Astyanax mexicanus: one gene and its partner. The protein of the gene in region 2 interacts with the protein of the main gene of each other region in a pairwise test. Links are inferred from orthologs where the notes say so. Each region holds a gene or a part of one and is shown on either strand. Other genes may lie near its edges.

Region 1 (3,756 bases), on a different chromosome or scaffold from region 2:
TGAACTGTCTATCAAAATATATGGAAATAGGCCAAATATGGCATGAAAAGAAAAATAGTAAATACAGTAAAATATGTTGGAGGTTGTTTTGCTGCATCTGGTACTGGTAAATTAATATTATTATATTTTTTTATTTTTTATTGTTTATTCTTTAAATGTCTAATCACCATCAGAAAGCCTGTAACTATTTTAACTAGTTTAACTGGGTTTATTCTTTTTCTTATCATTTCAATTTTTTATTATTCTTTCTATTTATTTATTTATTTATTTATTTATTTTCTTAGGATCTAAGTTCACTATTGTTTATTTGCTGTTTCTCTTTTCTAACTCTTATCATTTGATTTTATCATTTACTTTTTTGCTATTATTATTTTTTTTTTCTTTATTTTAAATTTTATAATTTCTTTACTTTTTTGTTTTCTTTTTTTTTTAGGGGTCATTTTATTTAGGTTACCCTCTTGTATATTATATGTTTATACATTTAATTTATCTAGAATAAATATATTTATTCAAACTGTGTATTTATTATATTTAGAATTTTTTTTATTATTTCTAATTTCTTATCTAATGTTTTAAATCAGTTTTATATTGTAATTGTAAATGAGGGTCACCCTCAATGTACTAATGTACTCCTGAGTTAAAATAAATTACTCTTCTTAGTTTATTTCATCATTTACTTTTTACTATTTTTATTTGTTCTGTATTTTATCTTAATTTTATGAATTCTTAAATTTTTGTGAGTTCATTTTTAAGTGTTTTTTATATTTCACTCTTTTTTATATGTATATATTTTTATTAATCTATATTAAATATATTTATTTATTTTTTTCCTTTATTTTATTCTTTTTTTCTTATGTAATATTTTAAATCAGTTTTATACTATAATTGCGAATGAAGGTGCTCAATGTACTCCCGAGCTAAAATAAATGTTGAATGATTGATTCATTAATTGATTAATTGATTGATTGACTGATTAAATAATGAAACCATTTGCATTTTAATATGACTTAAACATTTATTATTTAAATATGTATTTCCACCCTTCAACCGCTAGAGTGCGTCTGTTGATCAAAGAAAATATGTCCTAAAATATAAATTATAGCGCCTCCTAGCGATTAGAGTTGGAAATAAATCTCAGTAAACGCTCAGCCAGGCTTTGCAGCATTCTGGGATTTGTAGTCCTTTAAGACCCCTGCAGTGTGAGTCCCGCCCCTCGCTCCTGATTGGACGCTGCTGGCTCTGTTTTTTTTGGAGCTACTGGTGTTGCGGTGCGTCAAATACGCATACATTCACTCACTCCTCCTCCTCCCTCCCTCCCTCCCTCTCTCTCTCTCTCTTTCCTTCTTTTGTGCCCCCCTAGCACCCTCCCACCCCTCGGTATCTGCCCCATCCCCCACTCTCTCCCTCTCTCTCTCTCTCTCTCTCTCTCTCTCTCTCTCTCTCTCTCTCTCTCTCTCTTGTATTTTCATCCTGCCTGCGTAAAAAAGGAAAGAGCAGCAGCAGCAGCAGCAGTCAGACTGCCGGATCTACAGCTACATAAAGCCTTCAGACCCGGAGCTACAAAGAAACCAGAGGCATCTAAACACCCAGGATCTGCCCAAACTGGTGAGTTTTAACCTCCACGCTGCTGTTTTCACTTTTTCCAGCTTTCTTTCTTTGCATGAACCCTCCCTTTCCAGCTGTCCATCCAGGAGAAAGAGAGAAAGAGAGAGGCTGGTTTGTTGGTTGGTGCTTGGTGGTTGGTTGGTGCTCCTCAATCCATGGCATCCAAAGCCATGGTAGGTACAGTAGGCATGGAGGCAAGGTGAGTTATGAAACACATATATAGCTACAGTAGCATCTTAGCTAGCTAGCATCATTATTGCTTATCATTGTTTAGCTATAAACTTGTGCGACTAGCTAATCTACAGGATGTATGGAATTGCTATTTTATGGATATATAAGGGATACATAATGCCACACTCCATTGGGCAAACCAAGAATAGCATCCCAAAATGGTGTCGGACAGGCTTTGAATGTGACCAGCTTTTCTATATATAACCTAAAATGATCATAAAGAACCAACACCAGGTCCAGATCTTCATTCTATACAGGAGAAAGAGAGAGAGATGGAGGGAAATAAAGCAAGAGAGAGAAAGAGAGATGCTGGTTTGTTGGTTGGTGTTTGGTGGTTGGTTGGTGCTCCTCAATCCATGGCATCCAAAGCCATGGTAGGTACAGTAGGCATGAAGGCAAGGTGAGTTATGAAACACATATATAGCTACAGTAGCATCTTAGCTAGCTAGCATCATTATTGCTTATCATTGTTTAGCTATAAACTTGTGCGACTAGCTAATCTACAGGATGTATGGAATTGCTATTTTATGGATATATAAGGGATACATAATGCCACAATCCATTGGGCAAACCAAGAATAGCATCCCAAAATGGTGTCGGACAGGCTTTGAATGTGACCAGCTTTTCTATATATAACCTAAAATGATCATAAAGAACCAACACCAGGTCTAGATCTTCATTCTATACAGGAGAAAGAGAGAGAGATGGAGGGAAATAAAGCAAGAGAGAGAAAGAGAGATGCTGGTTTGTTGGTTGGTGTTTGGTGGTTGGTTGGTGCTCCTCAATCCATGGCATCCAAAGCCATGGTAGGTACAGTAGGCATGGAGGCAAGGTGAGTTATGAAACACATATATAGCTACAGTAGCATCTTAGCTAGCTAGCATCATTATTGCTTATCATTGTTTAGCTATAAACTTGTGCGACTAGCTAATCTACAGGATGTATGGAATTGCTATTTTATGGATATATAAGGGATACATAATGCCACAATCCATTGGGCAAACCAAGAATAGCATCCCAAAATGGTGTCAGACAGGCTTTTAATGTGACCAGCTTTTCTATGTATAACCAGATATGATCATGAAGACCCACCACCAGGTCCAGATCTCCATTCGGGCCAGGAGAAAGAGAGAGAGGTGGTGGGAAAGAAAGCAAGAGAGAGAAAGAAAGAGAGAGAGGCTGGATCATTGGTTAGTGCTTGGGTAGTTTGGGGCTCCTCAATCCATGGCATCCAAAGCCATGGTACGTACTGTAGGCTGGAGGGAAGGTGTGTTATGAAACACATAGTTACCCTAGCATCCTAACTAGTTAGCATTCTTGGGTATTGCTTTCTAGCCTGCTAGCGAGCTAGCTAGTTAGCCATATTAGCCTAGCCTATACTATCTATAAGGATGTGAGGCACCCATGCACTCCATCCATACACCATGCTAATAATGCTCCACACCATTGGGCATAGCAAGCATAGCATCCCAAAATGGTGCCCAGCTTTTTTTATATAACCAAACATGACCATAAAGACCCACCACCAGGACCAGATCCTCATTCTGTCCAGGAAAAATAAAAAAGAGAGAATAAGAGAGGCTTTAGTTGTTGGTTGGTGCTCCTCAAACCATGGTACCCAAGCCATGAGTTATAAAACCCGTAGCTATCTTGCTTACCCTTACTTAGCTTGCTAAATCAGTCTTCGAATATATATGATGTATGAAGTTGCTATTTCATGGATATATGAGGATTTGAGATACCCAAAGAGGATGCCCTCCTTAACTCATTCACTCCATCCACTATGCTAATAATGCCTCACTTCACTGCGCCAACCAAACATAGTATTCCAAAATGCCAGATCTTCAATCTGACCAGAAGAAAAGAGATAGAAAGTGATAGAGCAAAGAAAAGAAAAAAGGAGAGAGTTTTTGGTTCGTT
Region 2 (3,756 bases):
TTTGGGTTAACAGCCAAACTCTGCAGCAAGGTAGAGCAGATTTTGTGACCACCACTCTGAAATAATCTTTTAACCACTTGTATTTGAGCACATTTTTATTTTGTACCTTTAGAGGTAGGAAGATTAATGCAATACTGCACCCCATGTATCAAATTAGTCAAGTGGCCCAAGTTGAAGAAATGTTTATTAAGTGACTCAGGATATAGAACACCAGTGAACAAGATGCATTAGTCACATGAGGTTTTGAAAACAACTAAACCACATGCCACTTGAGAGCAAGCACCTGGCGGGAATGGGGACACTGACCGCGTTACACAGCACATTCAGGACACTGGTAATGAAGATGACTGCAATTCATGTTAGGCCTGCATTGCCTGCTCTTTTTCCAATCTGACTGGTTAAGACACTTTTCATAGTTAACATGAGCAGTGATGATATCCTGCAGCCAGAAGACAATTCACAACAAGCAGCAACATCAGAGAGAGACTGTGGGTAATTGATTATAGATGTCTGATGGAACACAAGCTGTGACAATTACGCAAACAATTCAGCAGTATAAGAACCAACTCTGCACCTTTCATGCAATTAGAATTGGAAAATACCCATAATAGATATCTGGGTTTTAATTTACAGACTTTCAGATGACAAATAAAAAACCTTGGATTAGTGTTTGAAACATGCCAAGTATGCTCACACACTAAGGAATTTTACTGGGAAAATTCTGTATCTGAAAACACAGGATTTTTTGCTGGTCAAATATTGGTGGCAACATTTTGGCATGCAAGTTCAATAATGTCTGAGCAACTCGGTGAATCATTTCTATTAAGGATTTTGTCGACCACGTCCTCTGCATGATGTGCAAATTGTTATGAAGCAATGGGCACACAAGTTGTTGGACTGGAAAAATTAAAACGAAAAAGGGGGCTGTTGGGCTGTGGAGGGGAGTAAAAACCATTTCAGATAGTGTTCACCAACCAAAATATGTAGATAAGAAGAGAAAATGGGACTGAATTACCTATATAAGCTCGCTCTTGTTCACGGGTGAGCCCTGGAGGGATGACCGTGGGCATGCCGGGGATAACGGTCTTCTGATCAGGAGTCTCACTGCTCCAGCGGCTCTTTTTCCTTTTCTTCTGATCTATTATGAGAGTGTTGTATTATAAATGACTAGTACTACTGCATAGAGATGTATACATGTGGCATTCATAACAACACAGTCTAGACACAAGTCATGGTTTCATGTTTAGTTACAGTGTGATTCTGTGATCATTTCCCAAATGCAATTGATTTTGTTGTTGTCTGCATTACAGACAAAAAAACAGTCTTACATTTCCCCCAACCACTGGAGATAATTCAGGTCTAAAAGGGTTAAATTCTTTAAAGATAGTGTAACTAAATAAAATACACTGCCTGGCCAAAAGAAAAGTCCCCATCTGGGTTCAACTAAGTAAATGTTGTGGGGTTCAGCAACAGTGTATGAAAATAGACCAGGTTCTTCCATCAATGGATTTTTTTTCTTCCCTGGTGGCACAGGGGATTCATGGGGCTGGAATTTTGAAAGAGTGTTTCAGGGAACAAGAGATGATCATTTTTACACATGGATTGTTTACCACAGAGTCCAGACCTTAATTTCATTGTGAATCTTTGGGATGTGCTGGAGAAAGCTTTATGCAGCGGGTGGCAGGCAGTGTATGTAAGCAAACGCAAATACACTAATGTTAGAGCAAAAATCTACTAGCTACAAAACAAAACAAGGCTTCTTTTAATAATATCGCGTTATTAAGATATCTATTTTTTCACGATATTATTGCTCACGATACGGTATCGTACACACCTAGCTTAGCTTACCTAAGCTACTGTGGTGAGGAATCGAGCAGCATGGGCCTGTGCTTTTTTCTAGCCCGCAGCCATGCTTCAGGTAGAGAGCAGCTGAATATTGTAGTCCTAAAAGGCCTCAGATCTCTTCACAGGCCTTCCTGAGGTTTAAAAGTGTTACACTAGGTAGGGTTAGCTAAAGTTAAAGACTAGAGTCGACTGCGCAGATATAGCTAACATAAGGTTCAGAATGTTCTGGAGTGTTAAAGCTATTAGCATCTTTAGCTAAAGGCTAATAGCCCCGCAGATCCACACACACAGTCACACACACACACAGTAATACTGTACCTCCACCCTGGGACTGCAAACCCACTGCAGCCGGATTCGCAAACCCAGCTCCGGGAACTCCGGGGAACTGCGGAAAAGGTAAACTGGGCATCTGCGGCTGCGGAAAGTTCTGCATGGGGAAGGAGACCGGAGGCCCCGGCGGAGTCATTAACCCCGTGCCCGGCCCCGCGTCGAAACCCCGCTTAGCGCCGATGCTCGGGTGCAGCTTCCCCAGCGGGGTGGCGTTCGCTCCCGTTGCCATTTCTGAGAGTTTTACCTGCAGCCCCTCTCTTCTATCCGCTTCTCCTCGATTCTGATCAACTTTATTTCTTATTCTTTTATTATTTCTAAAATAAACGAACCCGAGCGCCGCCCTCACAACCCGTACAACCTTCCCTAACCGATGCTCGGTCAAGATGGCGTCGGTTGAGGTGGACAAAGGAGGTTCAGGGTCTCCGTATAATAGCAGCAATTGGTCCGACGGGGCGTCAATCACCGCGCTTTCGATTCTCATTGGACGCACTCCTCCCGCCTTGAGATTTTACAGAACTATGATTGGATGCCACACGCTCCATAATCTCCATTGGGAAAAGCATAGATAAAACGGCGGCTCATTTTACCGGATCTGGTAATCATACGGATCTACCTTATATACAGATTCAACAAAATCATTACTGGAGGATATGGGAGATAGATCAGGGAGTACCAGCCATAAATTTGGACACACCTCTTCTCCTTCAATGTGCTTTCTTTCTTTTTATGATTTTTTAAAATTGTATATTTAATATTGAAGAAGCCATGCAGGAACATGCAGTATTATTTTATAAACAAAAAAGTGTTAAACAAACCAGAATATGTTTTTTATATAATTTAGATTCTTTTAAAGTAGCTTTGAGGACAGATCTGCACACTCTTGGTATTAATCTCAGTGTCTTCACGAGGCAGTCACCTAGAATAGTTTTCTTAGTGTCCTGAAGGAGTTCCTGGAGGTACTTTCCTTCACACTGTGAAGCTCAGTCGATCAGGTTTAGTTTGTTTTCATGTCTTTAATATTAATATACAGTGTAGAAAATACATTAAATAAATGAATAAAGAAAAACTACAAATAATAAGGTGTTCCAAACTTTTGATTGGTCACACAATATGTTATATGCTGTGATTAATTGCAATTAATCACAGTTTCCTTCTTAACACATAAGCATAATTGATAATAAAGTAAGATCATAATAATTGGATTTATAGTCATATGTTTGATTCATTTGTACACAGATTAATCTCTACACATGTTGTCCTTAGTTAAATATGTAAAATAAACAGTTCAATCTCCAAAAAGTGACATTGCAAAATATAAAAAATGAAGAGAATCAAATTTTCTATCCATATTTCAATATAAATAAAACGTAAAATATAATCCATATTCTGAACTTCTGGGCAGTAGCTACACGAAGTTTACATTGCTAAAAAACAATATTATTATAACCATTAAACTATAACGAATTACAGTGGAGCCAAATTGGTAAAATGATTAATACACATACAACAGTTTGACCTTCTACACTAAGGTCTAGTCCAGAAGCATATAAAGCATTCCGAAATAAAGATTTCCAATTTAAT

What was found. The genes of interacting proteins can lie anywhere in the genome.
Region 1: the proteins of sf1 (region 2) and fam168a interact in binary tests that used the Homo sapiens proteins (3 or more experiments, as listed by UniProt). The two-hybrid records come from large-scale screens. The link is inferred for Astyanax mexicanus from reciprocal best matches to the Homo sapiens genes SF1 and FAM168A.

Annotation. Positions count from the first base shown.
Region 1 is NC_064416.1:5,958,989-5,962,744, reverse strand, and holds the start of fam168a (protein FAM168A), read left to right. Parts: upstream 1-1,394; 5' UTR 1,395-1,605; intron 1,606-3,756.
Region 2 is NC_064415.1:16,236,582-16,240,337, reverse strand, and holds the start of sf1 (splicing factor 1), read right to left. Parts: upstream 2,578-3,756; 5' UTR 2,405-2,577; coding exon 2,164-2,404; intron 1,139-2,163; coding exon 1,016-1,138; intron 1-1,015. UniProt on the Homo sapiens protein: Necessary for the ATP-dependent first step of spliceosome assembly. Binds to the intron branch point sequence (BPS) 5'-UACUAAC-3' of the pre-mRNA. May act as transcription repressor.